Linked DNA regions of Daphnia pulex. Each later gene encodes a partner of the first gene's protein in a complex. Links are inferred from orthologs where the notes say so. Each region holds a gene or a part of one and is shown in the gene's direction. Other genes may lie near its edges.

Region 1 (6,246 bases):
TATTTTTCTCTATGGCGTAGCTGGCGGAGATGTCGTAAACCAATGGGACGAAAAACAAAAATAAATAAAGAGCCTGCGCCAGCAGCCCATTTGTGCCTAACTTTCCATCGACTTTTTCAACCTGTCCAACAGGTTTACTCTATGTCGAAGCTTGTATGTAACAGCGAAACAACATCCAAGCCGTCAACGACCCCCTTTTTGGCTGAGCTGCTGTTTCGTCATCGAATTATAACGTCGCCCTCGCCTAAATGCTTGATGGAATATCACTGAATTTTTCAACAGACCATATCTCTCTCTATCTATCCCTTGGTTGTGATTATGCAAAGATAGGCGCGCTATAAATAAACCACGATTTTTATTTTCTAGTGGGGGTGGTGGGCTTGTGCGCTTATATGGATGTTGGCCGTTACATCAGGAATGCGCAACATAATGGGAAAAAAAAAGAACTTTTGGCTGATCATTTTGACGGGCCAGAAGTCGGTGGAACATCCAGCGAACAACAACAATGCGCTCGCGCCCAGCTCTTATAAGTCAATTAACTTTCCCCTCATCACCAATTTGGCACTGGCTGTGTGTGTGTGCATATGCGCGCTGCATAGATGTGCGCCATGGATAGAATATAACCACCGGTTTCTGCTGACGCAAAAAAGGGAAACGCGAGGGTTCACCTGTATAATTACACCTTGTCACGTTAGTTTTTTTTTAGTTTTTTTAATTTTGGAAAAACATTTTCGCATTTTCCCAGTTTTTCTCATTAAAAAAAAAATATCTTTTTGATGATGTTCTAATTTTACGGCTAATAGAGTGCGCTGCTTGGCAACGGTATTTTCGTATCTACGCATGGAGAGAATTCCTGCGATGCCAGCAACCGTGAAGAGTGTGGCTGGCTGGCTGGCTGATGACTCGAAGCGAAACGCTGGGTAACTGGGTTCAGGGAAAGTGGTCCATTTATTTCCCATGGCCTCGAGCTAGACGTGTATACACTAGCCTACTTACGAATTAGACACATGATTTTGTTATAAGCGCTATATACTGTATACCCTGGGTGACACAAGCCACTAGCTCTATATATTGCTCGCTAGATGCGCTTCTAGAATTTTTAGTTACCGGTTATGTCAGGTTATACATTTTGACTGTTATCGATGATTGAAACTATCAAGCCAGAGTTTTATTCCCAGTATCTACAAATGGGTTATTTTTGATTTAGCGACCCTGTATTTTATTTTCTTTTAGATTTATAATATTCCTTTTGGGTAAGATTGTTATGCAATGAGCAACTATACGTATAAGAGTTGATGTGCCAGCCACTCGGCGATATTCTAAGAATCGGGAGTGTTTGATAGAATGAAAGAAAGAAAAGAAAAAAATCCAGCTGTCTTGGACGTTTCATGTCATCATGTTGTAGGTAGAGAAAGTTGATGATTTATTACGCGACTTATTCGTTCGTCAACCGGTTTTTTTCGTTTCTTCCCGCTGGGCTACAAGTCTCCCGACACGCTATAAAAATCGCAAAGGTGTATGTCTATTTACGCCCGTAATGATACTACTCGCAGCAACCAATGTATATGCGCCCAGCATACTTAAACAGCCCGAAAGAAAACGACGATGGTTGCCGACGACGACGACTTTCAGGGTAGGAACTTTTTTTAAAATAAGACCGATGGGGGTGGAGCAGGGAATATTCTTTGTGAGCTAACCGATGATTCCAATTTGGCCGACAGGTGACGGTTTTTTATTTTCTTATTTTTCTGTGTTATCTAGTGGGGGCAAGGTAGCATTTTATGATCGCCAATGAGCGATGTGGCGTTTATATATAGGTCAGATAATGCGCGACACATTTGTCATTTCTGTTTTAGTAGTCTGTACTTTTGCGATCAATTAGAAATTTCTCTATTCATAATTGTTGCAGATTGTTATTGTTATTGTAAAGATTAAAATAGACAGGATAACGTATTAAATCCAGTCACATGGGCGGTCACGGATCATCCTTCATATTTTTTCTCTTTAACTTTCATGGGTTCACTAATTAAAAAAAGTTGTTTTTTATTTTATTTTTATTTTTTGGCTTAGAGGGAGACGGTAGGAAGCTGGAGAATAGTAATTAAACTAATTAGAACTCACACATTGCAAGACGCAAGAGGCAAGAAAAATTAGCCGTGAAGACGAATGGCGAAATTAAATATTCATGATTTTATGTGTTCCTGGAAGAGTTGGTCTTGAAGCGATGGCATACTTGAGATTGTTGGCTGCACAACTTTACTTTCATAAAAGCTCATAAAATGTTTTCTTACTCTTTGATTTTATTATGAAATAAATAACAATGAAAGAATCATAGGTTGAATATGAAATATCTTTTAATAAATCGCAATAACCGAATTAATAGCCTAATATTTAATTCACACATTTTCTTAATCACCTTGAATGTACTAATTGGAATACAAATTGCAGTTTAAAGTGCGATAACCGCAACTTGGGTTATGACTTTTATTCTCTGTTCGTTTGCATTCGACAAGAATATTTAGACTCACTATAGCTTATACTCACCAGTGTAAAATGATCAAATTTAAAATAGCCTATTCGTTCTTTCTTCGGTAGATAATTTCTTTCAATTATCTTGGACTAGTGTATACAACTTTCAAACTAAAATATATGTTTCTATTCTCTCGCACTGTCCATTTCAAAGCGCAATCAAGTATGTTGTATATTCGATCACGGAGTGGAGTGCTGGCCTGGTCGTCAGCTTCTTGATTCCGCCACCAGCGGCCACCATGAGAAAGGGAAACCCGTTTAGAATTTCAAATTGCTGTGCTCTTTTTATTTTTACCGTTTCGCCATCTCTTGTTTAGACAAATCTATGTTATACATGTATAGCAATTCGTACTAGTGATAGAACTCAATTATAGTAAAAGGAGTTAGTGGACGGACATTGTCCCCCCACAAGACATCGCCTTAAGTACCAATCTAGTTGTTATAACTTTCTCGATTTCGTAGAATTGTTTGATTTTGAATCCAGTTACAAGTGGTAATACATATTCCGATCGAATCAGACCAACTAGTACAAAAAGAGGTTTCCCAGTTTCTGCTTTGTTTCAGAGGGCGATTATATACTTGGCCAGGCATTCCGGTGATTTCGTACTTATTAAAATTCCAAACATTCCGAATCACTTCTCACGGGGCGTTATGAAAAATACCACATTATTCCGCGTCTGAAAGTTACACAGATAGACGTCCTGATTTGCAAATTCCTATAAATCTAGAAAGGCAAGAAAATAATAATAATAATAATATTAGGGAATTCATACTGAAACAAATTTGAGATTTGAGCATTGAGATATGCAATCAGGGTTACATTTGAGGAGGAGTAAAAAGCTAAATGAAAAAATGTTGGCCAATCAAACTATTTCCTGTTAAAAGCTTATTAAAGGGATTGTGCAACAACAAATTTGATCAGTTATTTTTTTTAAGGCCATTAAATTTCCATGCCATTTCGATTTTTGGGGGGTTTTATTAAAGAAAAATGCGTTGACGAACTGATGGTTGCGTAAACTTATCTAATAAAACAAAAGAACGCGCTCTGGCGCGATTTATAGCAGACGATAGACTTGAAGACCTTTTCAGTTGTGTGACGTTGTCGATTGAAAGAAGAAACGATTACTTGTTTTATTAAAGCCGGCCAATATTTAGAACTACATTCTCTTGAATAGGTTTTTCTAGTACGTTGAAGCAGAATTTTTAAAACTGAAAACCATGGAGTCAAAGAAAAAGGAGAAAGAAAAAGAGAAAGACAAGGAGAAAGACAAAGATGTCATCGTTTATGAAAGGGAAATGGAAATGTCTTCAGCTAGTCGGGGTGTTTGGTTGGTGAAAGTACCAAAATACATTTCAAGTCGATGGGATAAATGCCCTGGAAATATTACAGCTGGACAACTGAATATTACTAGGTATGCATCAATTGGTTTATGTTAACAAATCGACAAATCCTTTATTAACTCATTACAACTCTTGTTCAGGGTGCAAGGACAAAAGTCTCAAGTCAAACTTATTCTGTCGGAAGCTATTATGTGTCTCCAGGAAAAAGGAGAGGAACCTATTCCTAAAGAGCATGGATTGATTGTTTCACACATTACTTCACAAACATTGGGTGTATTTTCTCAACAAACCAGTACGTACTACTTGACAGTTATGGGGAAGATTTTTATTTTAGGCCTGAGCTTAAAGCATGATATTTAAAGTGGCGTGCTTGCAATTAATCTAATTTAATATTGACATTTTTGTATTGTTTCCCCAGCTCCAGCCACCGCGAACTCACCTATGGAAACTGAGAAGATCATATTTGAAGGCAAAGTTGCCCAGAAGCTTGAATGTAGACCAACAGGTGAGACCAACAAAATAAAGTTCCTAAGCTTGAAGTGAGCATTAATGATTTTTATTTTCATCAGCAAATGCAAGTTACATGAAACTCAAAAGGGATTCTTTGATTAAAGCTGCCCAACCTACAAGAATTGTGAAGCAATTGGATCGAGTGGTTCAAAGTTACAAACCCATCTCTGACCACAAGCATAATGTAAATATAGCAATTCTCGTCTATTTTTGGTACATCATAACCTTTTATTCCTGATTACAGAAAGAATTCGACGAAAAGAAGAAAGCTGAGGGTAAGAAAGCCAGAGATGATAAGGGCAAAGTTATGGACATGCTGTTTGCAGCTTTTGAAAAGCATCAGTACTACAACATCAAGGACTTGGTAAAACTCACCAACCAACCTGTGGTAAGAAAAAGTTGTTTTCATACAAGCATTTGCACTTTTAAAACCCTCTGCTTTTATAGACCTACCTCAAGGAAATTTTGAAGGATGTTTGTGTATACAATTTGAAGAATCCTCACAAAAACATGTGGGAACTGAAACCGGAATACCGCCACTACAAAGATGAAGACAAGGACTAATAAGTAAACAGTCCATTAACTTTCTAATAAAGCTGTGATTTTCAGAAAACTACTAAACAGCTCTTGGATGCACATAACTTCAGATAACTCAAATGGGTTTCAACTGCCCTTGAAATTGTTCGATAAAATGTTCTCTTAGGCTACAATTTTCCCTTCGTCTAAAAATTCCCGTGCTAACAAGTGTGTGGTCCAATACATCGATGCGAACTTGAAAATTTTACCAATATAATTTATCCCAACCATATCAGGAAGAAATGATTTCATGAGCGAGTTCAGTGCGAAAAGTAGGCTTATGTGCTAACGAGGAACCCCTTTTAAACAGAATCGTAAGATTGTAAAAACAAGAATCAAGTAAAAGGTTACATGTTAATATTTACAGCTTTTCATGGTACCCTACTTACAGTTAACATTATATTATCTCAGTCAAAAGCCATAATCTATTAGAATAGCAACAGCCTGTCTCTTGATGAGATTCATCATCCAACCATGATTCAACCAACAATTTAACGCTGAATATAGTTATCTACAAATTAATTTGTTTTAATTTTCACTAGTTACAATTTGCCAGAATGTAATTTTAAAAATTGTTTATTTGTCAATATAGATACTATAAAATACACCAAACAGAATTATTTCACCAGGAAATCTGCAACTTCAGGTAGCGATGTGAGGGTTCCTGTACAACAACAGAATAAGAATTAGCATTTCAACATCATAGAAAACCATTTAAAGCACACTTCAACAAATTATCCACAGTGTGCCTCAGTGCCTTCAACATCAATTACTTTATGTTACTACTATCAAATGTTTTAATTCGGTTCAATCCATGTGTTCCAAATAAGGAGACAACGGTAGATCAGAATAAATTTTAATTTAGCATGTCCGCTTGGCCACTATAAGCTAAGTAGAGCTAGTGTGGTTCAAAGGAATGCAAAATTCAGTCTTAGTTGCATGAATTAAATAAGATATTTACCGAAACGAATACAAAACTGGCTAGCAGCAATCAAACCAGATGGGGGAGCTTCACATGCTTCAAATGGCGTTTTACAGTCCTACTTATAACATTTGATTTCGTCCAACGCTGTTGAATTTCGGACTTCCTGTCGGAGTTGACAGATGGAAAATCTACAATAAAACTTTTGAAATCTTTTAAACAAATATGAACCAATTAAACTTGTTTATAATTTATTATTTCTATAATGATAGTTGAAAAAATTTTAAAAAGCAAACTGAAATAAATTATGTGGGAAGATGAATTCCGAAAGAGGGGGTTGAGAAGGAGGCAATGCTGGGCTTGTCAAC
Region 2 (7,462 bases), on another chromosome or scaffold:
CCGTCTTTGGCGACTACGAGTGCCGGGCCACCAACATGCTGGGCACCATGGCCCGCGTCATCGTCCTGGAACAGGCCACCAAACCCTCAGCTCCTACTTTCAAAATCAAAGTCAGTTTCTCTCTCTACTCCGCTGCGGATCGCAGTTCAGGAATAATAATAAATAATAGTTTGACTTCCGGGAACTCTATAGAGCGGAAGGATCCAACCTAGTGTATCTGACTAATGCAATCAATATTGTGGCGTTCGTGACATCGTGACTAATGATAGCCCCTCATCCTTGATATACTTGTTTGTCATTCCGCTAGATTACACACCCGGATAGTTTCGTTTTGGAGATTGAAGAATCGGACGTGGTCTCGGATCGAGGTCAGGACGCTGGCGTCCGGAATCCAATGGACGTGACCGGCTACGTGGTGCAGTTCAAACAAGCGTCCCAGGAGTGGAGCCGGGCACAAGAAAAAGAATTCGAAAGAAGTAAGAAAAAGGCAAACTTGGAAACTGATATTATTATTCATCGTTGCACTTCCTCTCATCCGCTCAAGTCAATCCGCATAGCATTTACCATTCGTTTCTACTACATCAGCTGGGAAAAAGTTTCAGATTCTAATGCCTAAATCCGTCTGTGTGTGTTTTGTTTTTTCTTGTTTTTGTCGTTAACTTGATGACATAAAACAGTGCCCAGCCAGCCGTACAGAGTCGCCGGAATGCAGCAGGATACGACTTACGAAGTGAGGGTTGCAGCACGCACTGCGGCCGGCACCGGAGACTACGCCGACGTCCAGGTCGAGAAAACCAAGAAACTCGTAGCCGCGGCCGTGCCCGTTCTCAACTCAGCTCCGGCCCAGCAGCAGCTACTCTGTCACTCGCTCCTCACTCTATTGATCGCCGCACTGGCGTCCGCCAACATCTACATCTAAATACGAGTTACCATTTTTTTATTTTATTTTATTTTATTTCTTATTCTAGAAATATTTCAAAAGATAAAAGGGAAAATTCTCCTTCGCAACCGTTGCCCAGCCCCCCAGCTATACATACAAAAGCCGTTCTTATCAATTCGAATTTACTTTCTTTCTTTTTTCCAAGTAAAACAAAATAACGGAGGGAATTAAGTTTAAACTCTTTTTTTTCTATCATGAGGAGTTTTGAGTTTGAGGACTCCATTTTATTCCCCCGACTCATTTTTTTTTACTCGTCACACATCTCTCTCAATCAGTTTGTAAAGAAAATTAAAATAAAAATAATAAAAATAAAAACAAAAAAAATCAAATTAAGGGAGGCCAGCGCTGATATAAGTTTTTTCAAACAAAATAAAAAGCCGAATTTTTAAAAATTTTAATTTTGATTCATATATTTCTTTCATTGGGGCCTGATAAGATTTTTTTTTAAAGATGATAGTAATCTTTTTGTACATATTTTTTCTTTTCCTCTTATATAATAACCCTCGGTTCCAGAAATATTGTGCGCTAATTAGAATAATATTGAGTGGCCGTTCTCTCATCCTCCCCCTTATACCAGTTCCTCCAACTTTATATCTCTATGGCTTTACGTGTGTGTTTAGCATTTCCTTCGAGAAGCCCCCCAGGTAGACACCTATAAACTAAGTATATCGAATGGCAAGGATTTAGCAGCTCCTACTCTCTACCTTTGCCCCAATCGTCCCTCCTCAGCTCAGTCCTTAATATTACATGGCTTTTGACGCGTTTGATGACATAATCTTTGGTTTTTGTATTTTAAAAAGTCAAAGTTTACTGGTGTGTTGGGGGGGGGGGAATATACAGCGGGGGATGTACAATGTTCAAATTACTTTTGATCCCTCGACTCTGTTCGCTTTCCTTTTTTATTCTACGATGAAAATTGATCCCGTTTCGTAGATTTTGAATGATAATTTGAATTCAAAAACTGGACGGCAAGAAACGATATGATTACCTTCGAGTATTGGTTTCCTTCATTTTTCTTTTTCAAGTGAAAAAGAACCGACGTCGATGTGCATAATGCATACAATTTGCATACGGTATTGAAAAAAACAAACAGATACTCATTTGGTATAAATTTAGATTTTTCTTTCTTTTTTTTGAGAAAGAGAGATTGCGGAATTTTGCATTATCCTTACGTAACCTTGGGTTTTTTTAAATTTATGTACATGTCAAAAAATTTCTTTTTTTATGTTTCCTTATATTTCCCACACTTCCGGCTGTACACCACATTTTGATAAAAATAACTTTGGGTTCTCATCATTTAATTATTATGATATGCGTGTAGTTTTTATTTTTTCATTTTTTTTATTTTAATATCATTAGCTGTGTAATATTTCCGTGATGCCAAACATACAACTGTCATCTAGAATGAGATTTTTATTCGTTGATTGAAAAAAAAAAAATTCTTTCTAAACAGTTAACCGCGTTTAGCCAAAGTTTCTTCCAGATTGGGACCCGCGCAATTGGAATGTCGTAATATTGGGTGACGTGTCATCAGATCCTCAATCCATCATGGCGAACTTCCTGTACTTCCTTCGATACCGGTAACTTTTTGGACCTTGGATCGGACGATTCGTTTGACGCCATTTCGTCGCACCTGAACCGAAAAGAATTTCACAAGTTAAAAATCTGAAGAAAGCCAAGTTATGATATCTAAATATAAACAATAACTATTTCAACACTGTATTCAAAAAGTGAATTGCACTTCAAAATAAATATGAACAGTCTGGTGAGTCAATTTACGTTGGTTAAGCCGTTAAAAGCGGCGCACATTCTGATGCGCGATAGGAGAGGAAAACAAAACATGGTTTATATTTCCCAATATTTAGTCGAAACAATTTCTAAATAATGGAAACGGTGTATCGAATTCTTTCATCAAAAAATAAATCTACAAACCAATAATACGCAATCAACATCTTCAACATTAAACTTCCAAAATTTTAGAAAAAATTTCAATTTTTAGAAAAATGAAATTTTCCCGCACAGCCTTCGTAATACCTGCCATCTGGTGACAGAATAAGGAGGTTCTTGTACACGACTCATTGTTTGGGCTAGCTTGTTGCAGACTTGCAGAAGGAAGCGAGAGTCGAAACGAGAAGCCGGCAAGTAATTATTCTTAACGTTTGTTGTTTTGAATAATACAACTTACTTAAGAATGCCCTACGCCAATCAACCAAATCTCAAATTGACCGAACTAACAGAGGAAAATGTTAAATTTCAGATTTCAGACACAGACCTTAGGTATTTACTTAAATTGTTGGTAATGAGAACATTTATATCATGCCTTTATCACATTTCAGTGTAGCAAACTCTCTGAGGCGAGTCTTCATTGCTGAAACCCCTACATTAGCCATTGATTGGGTCCAGTTTGAAGCAAATTCCACTGTCTTGTTTGATGAATTTTTGGCACATCGTGTGGGTCTTATTCCACTGACTAGTGATGACTCTGTTGAAAAGATGCAGTATTCCAGAGACTGCACTTGTCCAGATTTCTGTGTTGATTGCTCAGTGGAGTTCACTTTGGATGTTAAATGTTCTGAGGATGTTACACGCAATGTCACCACTGCTGATCTAAAGAGTACTGATCCAAGAGTGGTTCCAGCTACCTCCAAACGGGATGAAGAGCCACCAGATGACAATGATAATGGTACTGCAGAACATTTCTAAAGTTTGGAATCTGAGTTTGATTATAAATTTTTTTGTTTGTTTTAGAAATTTTAATTGTCAAGCTTCGTAAAGGACAAGAACTCAAAATGCGGGCATATGCCAAGAAAGGTAAATTTTGTTGCAGTTCAATTTGTTTCTCCTTCTTGAAAATATATATTTTTTTTTAGGTTTTGGTAAAGAACATGCAAAATGGAATCCAACAGCTGGAGTGGCCTTTGAGTACGACCCTGATAATTCATTGAGGCATACTTTGTTCCCGAAACCTGAAGAATGGCCAAGGAGTGAATATTCGGAGCTGGGCGAATCAGATCAACGTAATTTTTAAACGAATTTTTATGGTTTAACTAGTTTTATTTGAATTTTTATTTATTTATTTTTAGATGAAGCCCCATACGATCCTGATGGCAAACCTAACAAATTTTTTGTTAACGTGGAATCTTGTGGATCTTTACGACCAGAAAATATTGTCTTAATGGGAATCGCTATTCTCAAGAAGAAACTTTCTGATTTGCAGACCCAATTGAGCCACGAAGTGCAAAACGATGCCCTCGCCATCAACTGATTTTCCATTTTGTTCGAAATAATTGTAATGGTTTTGTATTAATGCAATTAATACACGAAGAATTAAGTAAAGCCGAATATCATCAAACTTATTTAATTTGTCTTATAAGATCTCAGGTGGACATGGAGTAAAAAAGGAACTTATGTAGCACAGCAAAATATGGTGAATATGAAAAATACATTGGTGATCTATAATACTGCAAGAATTCTAGTGAAGCCAAAACAAGCACTGCAGAATGTTTGTCCCACACCCCAAAGTGCAACATGCCATCTAGCCATGACTAGTCCTGAGTTTTCATACACAAATGACACAACTGCGCTTGTCACTGCACCTGTTGTTAGAGGTGTGATAATTCCCATCAAAAGAATTATGATGGAGTAAAACCTATTGCCAAAAGATTATATTTAGTTGTAACAGAATATGTGGAATGCTTAGGTATATTTTACCTTCCAACTGCATGCTTCCTTAATGTCAGAAATGCAATTATGGCAGCAACGGAATGAATGAAGATGGAAGAAAACATTGCCCACAAGAAAACGTTGTACCACATTTCTAGATGTATTGGGCATTGAATATTTTTATTATAGGTAACATGTTTCCTCTAAATTTAATATGTGGGTGAAAAAAAAATAATACCAAAGAACTCTTCAAGAGGAGCATTTGGTTTGTTCCAGATTTTTTCGAGGATGAAATCCATGTTAGAACTAGTTGACTGCGAGCCATCAGCAGATATTGGTGTTTGAATCATAGTGAGCTGCATTTTGCTATGCAGTGTTATCGCTCAGAACGATATCTGTCGCAGTGTTGTAAATCAGTTTGCTAATAGCAAGATAAAGAATAATTGATGGATGATAGCTTACAACGGAGCACGCGTAAAATAGACACCCAATAGCTGGGAAGCTGACTATCTTACGAAATTAAATTATACATGTTCTGTTTTGTAGATTAGTCATTATTGTTTACTTATTGTAACAACTTGGTACGCTACACATTGTAACACGATTCTATGAAAATGTAAATAAAGGCAGATAAGGTGGCTACTGGCTAGCAAAACCTGGTGGTGAAAATAGTTAGCTCTTGCTTCGTTTATCGTGAGGGAATCTTTTGGCTGTCGGTAGGTGGCTAAAATGGATTTCCCCCATCCACCAGGTGGCGCGAGTGTCTTCGTGAGGACGAAATATTTGTCATTTGTTTCCGAGACGCTGACCAAAAGTGTATTCCAAATTCATAACGTAATTACAGTGTCAATCTTCATTTTCAGCCATGAAATTTTATCTATGACGTTTCTGTCTGAATTTACAGGCAATTTTGGCATATAGTTTCACTTGGCCAAATAATGTAACGACGTGGGTCGAAACTGTTGTCCATTTTGTCGAAATGTCGGTCATTGTTAGCTGTACGTCTCATCTCGTGCAGAAACACTTCAGAGCTAGTAAAGTAAATTTTGTTGATCAATTTCTCTGCAATAATGCAATAGGTTTTATTAGTTGATTTTTCAGATCAGAGATGGAGATCACTTTGCTCAACTGTTGTAGAAGTTGAGAACATGACAAAGTCTGAGCTTCATGGCAGTCATATCATTAATTTTGTTTTTGTTGCAGCCAGCTGGGGAAAGGTGTGGTCGAGTCCTGTTGAGCTGCAGGTGCTGCATGCAGTTTATCAAGCTGGTGTTATCCCATCCCTAGTGTTACTGCAGGAAAACTTCTTGAATTGGTAATTTGATTGATATTATTGGTTGTAACTTGGGAAGTCTTGAGTTTTTTTTTTTTTTTTTTTTAATTTTGATTGAACTGACAAGTTATGTGATGAAGAAAATTAAGGGTAACATTTTTTTCTTCCAAATAATTGTTTCTTCAAAAGGAAGCTACATTGTTGGTCAGCTTTCAGCCTTTCACTGAGTTAACAATTTCCTTCACATCAAACTAGAACAAAAATTCCCACTCAGTATTAACAAGTTTATAACATATTGGAAGTAGATGTACATAATTCTTTTCTGGTATCTTTTTCAATTAAAATTAATTGTTAATTTTAAATTAAGTAAATTTTATTATCAGTACCCTTTTTCACATTTCATATAGTTTCATTAATGTTCTTTTGCTTTGTAGGAGTTCATGGTCGGTTTGAGCTGTTTACGGTGTTGCTGTTTGGACTACAGTGGTTTTGCAGTCCCTTCCAGTTGAGAGATGCTCTGAAATGGATTCTTGTTCACACTTGCAGTTCAACATCACACTTAAATTTGTCATTTGCCTATATTTGTGTCCGTGCAGTATATGCCGTGTTGAAAAGTTGGGTTAGTCAATGTTGCCTGATGGCTGTCGGTCTTGTTTTATCGGCTGCATTTTGTCGATATGTCGTCTCTTGTTACCTGTACAGGTGTTGAGGTAATGCTTGGTGTTTCGTTCAGTTACAGGTGCATATCTGGGCTCCCTTCTTCAGTGGCCCCGTTTCCCTAAATAACCACTAACCAACGCCCGCCGGTGGTCACTCACTCGCTGCGACAACCAGGAGGAAGGGAGATGTTTGGTCGAACGGGGACTTGCAAGGCGCATGATTCGATGAAATCTGTTGAAGGGTCATGAGTCTAAGCCGGAAGCCTACCATGATGCATTGCTCTCATAATAACTGCTCTTCAGCTCTCTTCGCTCTTTTTCCGGGTTCTCTTAACCACGGCCGGGTAATCTCCCTGGTAGAGTCAGTCGGGCAGTGTCTCCCCCTGCTTGACTGGCTGCAGTTTTTACCGGACGGTTTGTTTAATAAATAAAACAAGTATAAAAAACCATATAATGTTTTCATTTTATAAATTGTTATTCATTAATTAAATATGTATAGATAACAACTTGATTAACAAGCATATTTATACAACATTGTTTATGAAACAGACCGTCCGGCACAAACTCTTAGTTAGTACTATTGCTCAAAAACTGATTCTCTTGAATCAGCAGACTCGAGAGTTTATAGTGCCGTCAAGGTAGATATTTCTGAATGGCACCCGTCTTGTCAACTGCTAATGATTCATGTTCTTGGTTTGACAGAAGCTGTGTTGTGTTTGTTGATCGTCTCCACCATGCACGCGATAATCAAGACCAGCAACGTCTTGATCAAGAAGAAGAAAAGAACGGAGAAGCAAAGAACGACGATGTAAATAGCGGGGTGGGTACCGCTAAATTCATTCTTAGTTGAATGTCGAATCGCTAATATCATTGTTGGTTATGGTAGAACAGTTTTCCATACTGGTACGCTGTATGACGTCGAGCATT

What was found. The genes of interacting proteins can lie anywhere in the genome.
Region 2: general transcription factor IIF subunit 2-like (region 1) and DNA-directed RNA polymerase II subunit RPB3-like share a complex: the UniProt entries of both Homo sapiens proteins name them as parts of the TBP-based Pol II pre-initiation complex. The link is inferred for Daphnia pulex from reciprocal best matches to the Homo sapiens genes GTF2F2 and POLR2C.

Annotation. Positions count from the first base shown.
Region 1 is NC_060025.1:403,826-410,071, forward strand, and holds general transcription factor IIF subunit 2-like, read left to right. Parts: upstream 1-3,593; 5' UTR 3,594-3,747; coding exon 3,748-3,941; intron 3,942-4,010; coding exon 4,011-4,162; intron 4,163-4,288; coding exon 4,289-4,375; intron 4,376-4,439; coding exon 4,440-4,564; intron 4,565-4,624; coding exon 4,625-4,768; intron 4,769-4,827; coding exon 4,828-4,944; 3' UTR 4,945-5,159; downstream 5,160-6,246. UniProt on the Homo sapiens protein: TFIIF is a general transcription initiation factor that binds to RNA polymerase II and helps to recruit it to the initiation complex in collaboration with TFIIB.
Region 2 is NC_060024.1:10,721,153-10,728,614, reverse strand, and holds DNA-directed RNA polymerase II subunit RPB3-like, read left to right. Parts: upstream 1-3,024; 5' UTR 3,025-3,131; coding exon 3,132-3,217; intron 3,218-3,276; coding exon 3,277-3,623; intron 3,624-3,688; coding exon 3,689-3,751; intron 3,752-3,810; coding exon 3,811-3,957; intron 3,958-4,023; coding exon 4,024-4,205; 3' UTR 4,206-4,276; downstream 4,277-7,462. Other genes in the region: neural cell adhesion molecule 1-like, read left to right, coding at 1-110, 308-476, 678-919; transmembrane protein 170A-like, read right to left, coding at 4,394-4,589, 4,652-4,757, 4,842-4,965. UniProt on the Homo sapiens protein: Core component of RNA polymerase II (Pol II), a DNA-dependent RNA polymerase which synthesizes mRNA precursors and many functional non-coding RNAs using the four ribonucleoside triphosphates as substrates.